3 linked regions of the Mus musculus genome follow. The protein of the gene in region 1 interacts with the protein of each later gene in a pairwise test. Links are inferred from orthologs where the notes say so. Each region holds a gene or a part of one and is shown in the gene's direction. Other genes may lie near its edges.

Region 1 (2,984 bases):
AGAGAGAGGGAGAGAGGGAGAGAGAGAGAGAGAGCCTGAGCGAGCTAGTCCCCTCCCAGGTGAAGCAGTGGAACTGCCCAGTCCCAGAGTTCATTCCACCGTGGCTAGAAAAGTAGATAAGGGACTGGAGAGATGGCTCAGCAGTTAAGTGCACTGAGTTCAATTCCCAGCAACCACATGGTGGCTCACAACCACCTGTAATGGGATCTGATGCCCTCTTCTGGTGTGTCTGAGACATGACAGTGTACTCATATACTTTAATTAAATAAAATCTTTTTAAAAAGAAAGAAAAGAAAGGAAGGAAGGAAGGAAGGGAGGAAGGAAGGAAGGAAAGAAAGAGAGAGAGAGAGAAAAGGAAGGAAGGAAAAAAAGAAAGGAAGGAAGAAAGGAAGGAAGAAAAAGAAAAAAGGAAGGAAGGAAGGAAGAGAAAGGAAAGAAAGAAAGAAAGAAAGAAAGAAGGAAAAAAAGAAAGAAAGAAAGAAAGGAAGGAAGGAAGGAAGGAAGGAAGGAAGAAAGAGAAAGAAAAGCAGATAAAGGGAGACTTGGAAAGGGGTAGAGACTGCTCCATGATTATATAAAATAGAGCCAGCTTGAGGCTGGTCTGGATCTCCTAACCCTGTTCAATGGGCTTTCTCTGTTTCTGTCTCACAGTGTTTCTCTCCATGCAGGCAGAGGAGAAGGGGCCACCTCCCCCACTCTTACCTCCTTCACCCCGACTGGTGGGATTTAGGAGAACACTTCTCTAATGATTGGCCCTGAGGAATGAAAGCTCACAGACTCATACCCAGAGGTCGGGTGTGGCAGAAGTGTCCTCTCCCCTGCTGGTGTGTTGCTTTCTGTACAGGCAACCCGAAGACTCGGTTATGTGATCCTTCTGGTCAAGGGACCTCACTATGGTATGTGCCCTTGAGCTCAGGAAGGAGAGACGATCCGGGTAGCATGGGGCAGATCGAGGAGGGCATCAGTTCCTGCTTCTCCTGTTCTGTTTACAGACAAGCTGCTGTCCTCCCTGAGCAAGGGGGGAGCAGAGGAAGACAGTGCCAAGGTGGCACGAGGCTGCCCATGTGCCTGGTCCGAGGTGGTGTTTGCAGCATGCCAGACACCCAGAGGTGCTACTCTGAGAACCCAGGTCCCCAACAGAGCATCTTGCAGGCTTTGAAAGCTGACCTCTGACCTGGGAGCAACCAGAATCTGGGTACCCCAACCCCCGCCCCGGACTCAGAGCCCCATCACCACCAGTGAGTCTTGGCTCTGCTTATAGCATCTGACGCCAGAGGGGCTGAAAATAGCCCCTGGAGAAGGGGGAGAGGGGGAAGAAGGGGCTATTTAAAGGGCTCTGGAGGAGCAGGACATAGCAGAGGGAGCAATCAGAAATCATGGCCACTTCAGAGCTGAGCTGCCAAGTGTCTGAGGAGAACCAGGAACGCAGGGAAGCCTTCTGGGCTGAGTGGAAAGACCTGACTCTGTCTACCCGGCCGGAAGAGGGGTGAGTGTGAATCATTGGGAGGCTCTGCCTCTGCTCCCCCAAAGCACCTGCTACATATCAGAGTACAAGCCCCTGAAGTTTCTGGGGCCCCTCCCCTGCTCCAGGGAACTAGCTATGCCAGGGAGACCCCACTTAGCCCAAGACCAGAGAAGAGCTGCCCTCAGTTCACCACCTTTGTCTCCTTTCCACTTTCAGATGCTCCTTGCACGAGGAGGATACACAGAGGCATGAGACCTACCACCGGCAGGGACAGTGTCAGGCGGTGGTACAGCGCTCACCATGGCTGGTGATGCGCCTGGGTATCCTCGGCCGTGGGCTACAGGAATACCAGCTGCCGTACCAGCGGGTGCTGCCCCTACCCATCTTCACGCCCACCAAGGTGGGGGCCTCCAAGGAGGAGCGCGAGGAGACCCCCATCCAGCTTCGGGAGCTGCTGGCCCTGGAGACGGCCCTGGGCGGCCAGTGCGTGGAGCGCCAGGACGTGGCTGAGATCACAAAGCAGCTTCCCCCTGTGGTGCCAGTCAGCAAACCCGGGCCCCTGCGCCGTACCCTGTCTCGATCCATGTCTCAGGAAGCTCAGAGAGGCTGAGATGGACTGTGTGACTCAGACTCCACTGTGTCTGTCTCAGGCTAGGCACTTCCTGGCTAGGACAATGGAGGAGAGCTGCTGGCAGTGGCTGCTTTGTAGTTTGCCCAGAGGTGGGAGCTATGGGAGGAGGGAGCCCGAGGCCAGGATGCCTAGGTGTCCTGAGTCCCCACAGGGAAGGGAGCGAGGATGGCGGGCACTAGGAGTGGAGAGCTGAGCACCCTCAGCCCCAGAAGAAGAGACAAGAGATCCTGGTGAGAGGAGAGGCCCCTGGGAATGGCCTGCTCGGGAACAGATGGACTAGGAGAAGGATGTGCAACGCTCTGGAAAGGAGGGGGATGTGAAGAGGGTGGAAGTGGGCAGGCCCCCAGCACCCTCTGGTAGCACTGCAATAAATGCTCAGCCATGTTCCACGCTTCTCTCTTTCTTTGTGGTTGGGGTGGGCATGAATGTCCACCGTGCACTTCTGGGAACAGCCAAGCATTGGAGCTAAATCTGGCATAACCAGAGGGTACACTCCATGCTTAGGGGTGGGGTACAGGGGCAGAGCTGTAAACAGGGGGAATGTCTGGTCCCCCTTCCTGTGCCACTGCCCAGCCCTGGCTTCATGTCCAGTTCCTGGCACTGGAGCGTGTCTAGCAGGCCAGCTGGCTTCAAGGTTTGTTTAAATGATATCTGTGGAGGAGGTTATGGAAGGGGCTGGCACCAGGGCCGTCCTTGGCTGTGCCTTGGGGTGTGGATGGGGTCAGTGACCCTAAGGCCTGTCAGTTGTAGATCCAGACAGAATCAATCCTTGGCTGGCATCAGGTGTCCCACTGTCCCTGGCCTGGGTGGGAGGACAGGGTTTAAGTTCCTGTCTGTGACCTCTGCAGCTGTTGTGATGATCCCCATCCCAGCCTGGGTGTCTGGCCT
Region 2 (2,745 bases), on another chromosome or scaffold:
ACTAAACTATAGGTTTATATTAATTTTTAGACACTTCTCACTATTCTCTAGGCCGTGGTACCCTGTCGGATGAGCACGCTGGAGTCATATCTGTTCTAGCCCAGCAGGCAGCTAGGCTAACCTCTGACCCCACCGACATCCCTGTGGTATGTTTAGAATCAGATAATGGGTGAGTACATACCAGCACACCCCTTTCTTTTTGTTCTGAAAAACTTGATTGGGCTTTCCCCTGCATTCAGTGGTAGTTCATTAGTCAATGCACCACAGAGCCATTGGACATCCAGGCCTCATGAGAACAGAACTTCATTAAAATAAGAACTATCAGTTTGCCACTCCAATAAAGGAAAAACAGTAAAAACACAAAAAATGATTAGCTGCATAGAATTCCCTAAAGTAAGGTCTTAAAGATATTCCTAGATAAAGATCTTTATTCAGATGCTAAGTGATAAAAGGAAGAAAACAAAACTGTGGGGCTGGAGAAATGCCAGTGCTTAAGAGCCACAGTCCCGAGGATGAGAGCTTATATACTAGTACCCCAGCACCCACACAACAAACACCTGCAACCTCAGCCCTCAGTCAGGGGCGAGGGGGTGGGCAGAGATGGGAGGATTGTTGGAGCTGGCTGTCCTCCAGTGTAGCAGAGAAAATGAGGCTCAGGCTCAGGGATAAGACCACACATCAAAGGATAGTTGCACAGTAATAGAGGACACCCAGCACCTTCTTCTGACCTCCGTGCCTATACATAGGTGTGTGTACATGCACACACCTGTATGTGCACACCTGCACAGAGATAGAGTATGTGAACCTTTAAAAATGCATACTTTGGTCAGTTTGGGGCAAGGGAAAAAGAAGATATTAATATCGATATATGTATAAATATATACAAATTAAAATTAGAACCAGGAGCCAGCAAGATGGCTAAGCAAATAGACGTGCTTGCTGCCAAGTCTGATGACTGGAACTCCATACCTGGAACCCACATGACTGAGGAGACAAACACCCTGACGTTGTCATGCAAGCAGTGGCACACATACAGACCCCCAAAATAAGTAACATAAATAAGAATTAAGAGCTGGGGAGGCGGCTCAGTGGTTGAAAGCACATGGCACTCTCCCAGAGGACCTGTGTCAGTTCCCAGCACCCACATTTGGAAGTTCACAACCACTTATAACTCCAACTCCAGAGGAACCAACACCACTCGCTGGCCTTCTCAGGCACCAGTGTGTATAATGACACACACGGACAGACACATACATATATTTTTTAAAAATCTAATCTAAAAATTAGGACCAGGAAGGAGGCTAGGCTAGTGATAGCATGTGCAAGGCTCTAGATTCTAACTCCAACAATACCACCAAAACCTCCAGGAAAAAATAAAAATCAGAATCATGTTGAGTAGTAGGGTTAAGGATTACTTTTTAAAAATTTTTTTTAATTAAAAGGATTAATTTCTTTATGTTATAATTAGATTTGCCCACAATCCTCAACTGTTCATGCCCATCTGTGCTATTTATTTATTCATGTTTCTTAGCGGAAGACTTGGCTCTTGGTTTGAGAATGTAGTCCCCTTTCTGGGTGGGAAGTATGGAGAGGCTATGGCACTAGGGGTTGGTGACGGACACCTGTCAACAGGGACTGTTCATATTTGGTTTTGTATGAGAATATAGATAAATATGCTGTCATCTAAACATAAATATATTTAAACTAAATAAATTTAATCTTACACTGAGACACATGCATTAAGAGTTTGCTGAATATTTTCTTTTTGGCTTTTCAGGAACATTATGATCCAGAAACACGATGGCATCACAGTGGCTGTGCACAAAATGGCCTCTTGACATCTGATGTCAGCTCTCCAGTGGCCTCTCACCGGGATTCAGTCATGCCTGTCTCAGCTCATTTGTAAAACTATTAAAGTTCCAGAAATAGGCCATTCAGTTAATGTCCAATGTGGACTCCCTTATTTATATGACAGCCAGTTACCAAGACATCAGTTAGAGAGGAGCAATTGTTTGGGCTTTTGTCACTCTGCTCTTTGGTGACAGTCACTGTAGTCCAGGATCACAGCCCATCATGGCCTAGAACTATGTAGCCCAGGCTGACTTCAAATGTATGGTCTTCCTGCTTTAAACACATACATCCTGGAATTAAAGCATTTGTCACTAAGGTTTAGGTCACTTTGTATATAGAACTTCATTATGGCCAATAAACCTGTTCTGAGGAAAGTTTGGTTCATTTCTGGTCTTTTAAAATTCCTACTTAATGCTCACTTTTCTTTTTTCAGTTATCAAATTGTGGGTTTTTTGGTTTTTTTTTTTTTTTTTTTTTCTCTAAAAGATCTCTATCCCAAACTACTTGTTTCTCTTTCGGTGTCTTAAAATGTCTGTGTTCTTATGCAAGGGAAGATGGATCAAATATTTCCCTCAACCTAAGTGACAAAGGACATATCATTGAGTCCTTAGTAAGACCAGAAACTTATTTCTCATTATAAAATAGGATAGGTACTCCTGGTTGTTGTGTGTAACCAAAGCCTAGGGGCTAGCATGGTCACCATCAGAACTTAAGAACTTAACTGACAGAAGGCGTGTGTGCTTTGCTTTGTTTGGTTGGTTGGTTGATTTTTCTGAGACAGGGTTTCTCTGTGTAGCCCTGGCTGTCCTGGAATTTGGTAGACCACGTTAGCCTCAAACTCAGAGATCTGCCTATCTCTGCCTCCCAAGTGCTAGGAATAAAGATGTGCGCCAC
Region 3 (3,520 bases), on another chromosome or scaffold:
CACAATCTATCTTTACACATCTGAATGATATATATATATATTGGTTTCACATAGATACATTTACATTATACAGTGTACATGTACAATCCACACACATACTTGAAACAAAACCTTCATGTGTTAATACTTTGAATTCTCCCTACAAGTAACTCTCAGTTCGGTGTTCTATTCCAGATTTTAGCAATCCTGTCCATTAATTGATAAATTGATTTCCTATCCATATAATCCTGTGCTTTTTAAGAAACGTAGTTCAATGGCAATGGGGAAAATGTAGTGGTTGTAGTGAGATGCTTCAAAATAGCTATATTTGGGAATATGAGGAAACGTTTGAATTTGGGTTTATTTTCAATTTCTAACAATCTGAGCCGTAACTTTAAAATGTTTACATGTACTCATTTGTAGTGTGTGTGTGTGTGTGTGTGTGTGTGTGTGTGTGTGTGTTTGTGTGTGTAATAGTTATTCATAGAGGACAACTTACAGCACTCAGTTCTCTCCTTCTACCATGTAGGTCCTGGGAGTGAACTCAGACCATCAGGCTTGGTAGCAAGTGTCCTCCTTACCCATTAAAGCCCTCTGGCCTGGCTGTCTTTATATGGGATCCATCAGATATTCTGGGTTTTATGTAAGGAGGCTGCACCCACACCTATCTAGTTTTGTTTCTTCTTGGCCCCTCAATTCTCAGACTTGTAGGTCGGAAAGGTTTCCGGGGCTATAGGCTGGAGGAGCAGCACCAAGCGATTCCACTAACATAAAATGGAGATGCATTTTATCAGTGGTTTCCTCTTCTTCACCCATAGGAAGATCGCGTGAGGAACCTGTAAGCTCATCTGTGGGCACAGAGCTGGAGTGAGTTCCAAATGGCTGGCCAGAGACTAGTGTTGAACTTTTAGGAATTCCACAGGGCAGTTTTATAATTTTGAACTGATGCGAACACACTATCAAATTAGATAAATGCTAATTGAAGAATGTCATACATCAGTGTCTTTGTTCCCAAGTGCTCAAGCAGATGGAGATTTGTCAGCACTTCTCACCGGACAAATAGAAGGGCTCTGGGAGTCTTCAGGATACGGTTGGGAGGTTAGGGACCAATAGGGTTTACAAAGTTTGTCACCCCTCTGCTTTGCCCTGGTGGAGGTTGATAGCTATTTATCGTCTTATCTCCTCCCAGGCCAGAAAAAAAATTGGACCAGCCCATGTGTGAAGAGCATGAAGAGGAACGCATCAACATCTATTGTCTGAACTGTGAAGTGCCCACCTGTTCCTTGTGCAAGGTTTTTGGCGCCCATAAGGACTGCCAGGTGGCTCCCCTGACTCATGTGTTCCAGAGGCAGAAGGTAGGGAGTTCAATTCCTTTCTTCAGCCCACTTTAAGCACTAGTGAGTTAGCTCCATGTGACCAAAGAGGGGAGCAGCCTCATGGAAGGCCCCACAGGAAGTGGAAGGCCTCACAGGAAGGGGAAGGCCTCAGAGGAAGGGGATGGTCTCACAGGAAGGGGAAGGCCCCACAGGAAGGGGAAGGCCCCACAGGAAGTGGAAATCCCCACAGGAAATGGAAGGCCTCATGGAAGGCCCCACAGGAAGTGGAATGCCTCACAGGAAGTGGAAGGCCTCACAGGAGATGGAAGACCCCACAGAAAGTGGAAGGCCTCACAGGAAGGGGAAGGTCTCACAGGAAGTGGAAGGCCCCACAGAAAGGGGAAGGCCCCACAGGAAGTGGAAGTCCCCCAGGAAATGGAAGGCCTCATGGAAGGCCCCACAAGAAGTGGAAGGCCTCACGGGAAGGGGAAGGCCCCACAAGAAATGGAAGGCCTCACAGGAAATGGAAGGCCCCACAGAAAGTGGAAGGCCTCACAGGAAGTAGTCTCATAGTTTGTCTCAAATTCCATACTCTTCAAGGTTATGGAGTTGCCCAGAGAGGTGTGCAGAGAAAAATGAGAGAAAAGAGCAGAAGGGCTGGGTCACTCTCTGTGACATTTGGAGGTGGCTAAAGATATGTAGTGTTAGGGGGCTGATCAAATGCCAGCTGATAAAGATGACTCAGAGTTCAAACTGCAGATAAGAGTGAGATGCTCTTCACTCTCCCTTTTTATTGTTTATCAATAAATGTTCTCTTGCCTTCTTCAAAGCCTTTTCTCAACAATTTCTTGCCTATGAGACTCATAATCATGACACACATCTACAAAACAACTTTAAATCTGTGCCTCTTGCTGGCCTTCAAAGCATTCTTTGAATGTAGTACATGTCCTTCACCCCTGGAACTAGATCTGGGTCTCCTCACTCTAACTCAATACAGTCTTTATAGTATCTCATCAGCTCTGCACCATGTAGCAGCTGCCTAAAATTTATGCTTCTATGCAGGTTAAGGTGTGCATGTGTCAGTAGGCCCATCATGCCTCAGTTTCTTCCACTTAGAATCATTGATTTCAATTTTATATGAGAGACCAGAGTTGATATCATTTTGGAAGTCAAACTCTGTGACACCTGTTAGAACCAGTAACCATGATTTGTATTCGTTGGTGTTATTTATTTTCAACTTACTTTTTATTTTCTTTACCCTGACCCCTTAGCCCCAAGGCCCAGCATGGTAGAATTGTATGGTATCTGCTTTTGACTACAGTCATCACAGGTCTGGAAATCCATGGGATTGGCAGAGGGGCAGGAAGTTGGACTTCCAGCCTTTTCTTCTGTGGTCAGAGTAGCTTCTTGTTTAATAATAGGCTTCCAAGCTACCTTCTACATGTAGAGAAGACTGTAGGTTTCAAATGCCTTACACCCAGATTTATTAAACATCTCCTTTCAAATGTGGGAAAATTCAGGTTTATATTGGTATGTCTTTCTCAAAAATCTGGAGAAGTTTAGGTCAAAGGGAGAGGAGAGCCAGATTTCCCTAGTCCCCATTCTGCACTTCTTGTGGCTCCAAGTCCTGTTTAGGAGGATGGTAAATAGGAACAGAAAAATACTTTTGGGGTCAAAAGAACACAGGGATTTTAGAGTTGCATTGTCTCTGCTAAAGCCAGCCATATGTTACAGTTTTAAGTTTGTGCGACAGTCTAGTGAGCATTTGCATGTATCTACACTGCATTAGCATAGTAGGATTGAAATATACATACACCGGATAGGTGAATACTTACTGCATTTATTGCTCAAGTAAAACTAGTACTGAACTGCACTAGACAAACAATTCATTTTGAGTTCCAAATGTCACATATTTGTGTCTATCTCATTGTTCCACTTACGCAATGTTTAGAAGCCTCCAACTTCAATATACTATTATAGATAGCTTATAATTAGGTTTTCTTTGTGTTTTTAACAGAATCTAGTTCTCCATCAATAATGTTAAAATTATGGAGCCTCATCCAACACAAATCCAAGCATATATCAAAGTTTTCTTGCAATATCAAGAAGCTCACAGATTTCTCATGACTGGCTCCAGCCTCAGTCCTTAGATGGGATTAATTATATTTTCTGGGTTTTGGATAAAGAGTAATATCCCACACATACCTCTTACAGGTCCTCAATTA

The links. The genes of interacting proteins can lie anywhere in the genome.
Region 2: the proteins of Tcap (region 1) and Lamtor5 interact in binary tests that used the Homo sapiens proteins (3 or more experiments, as listed by UniProt). The link is inferred for Mus musculus from reciprocal best matches to the Homo sapiens genes TCAP and LAMTOR5.
Region 3: the proteins of Tcap (region 1) and Trim55 interact in a two-hybrid assay, tested with the Homo sapiens proteins (2 studies listed by BioGRID and IntAct). The link is inferred for Mus musculus from reciprocal best matches to the Homo sapiens genes TCAP and TRIM55.

What each region holds. Positions count from the first base shown.
Region 1 is NC_000077.6:98,382,471-98,385,454, forward strand, and holds Tcap (telethonin), read left to right. Parts: upstream 1-1,340; 5' UTR 1,341-1,376; coding exon 1,377-1,486; intron 1,487-1,681; coding exon 1,682-2,075; 3' UTR 2,076-2,483; downstream 2,484-2,984. UniProt on the Homo sapiens protein: Muscle assembly regulating factor. Mediates the antiparallel assembly of titin (TTN) molecules at the sarcomeric Z-disk.
Region 2 is NC_000069.6:107,281,858-107,284,602, forward strand, and holds the end of Lamtor5 (ragulator complex protein LAMTOR5), read left to right. Parts: intron 1-51; coding exon 52-169; intron 170-1,777; coding exon 1,778-1,838; 3' UTR 1,839-2,225; downstream 2,226-2,745. UniProt on the Homo sapiens protein: As part of the Ragulator complex it is involved in amino acid sensing and activation of mTORC1, a signaling complex promoting cell growth in response to growth factors, energy levels, and amino acids.
Region 3 is NC_000069.6:19,657,960-19,661,479, forward strand, and holds part of Trim55 (tripartite motif-containing protein 55), read left to right. Parts: intron 1-1,168; coding exon 1,169-1,334; intron 1,335-3,520. UniProt on the Homo sapiens protein: E3 ubiquitin ligase that plays an important role in regulating cardiac development and contractility, muscle growth, metabolism, and fiber-type differentiation.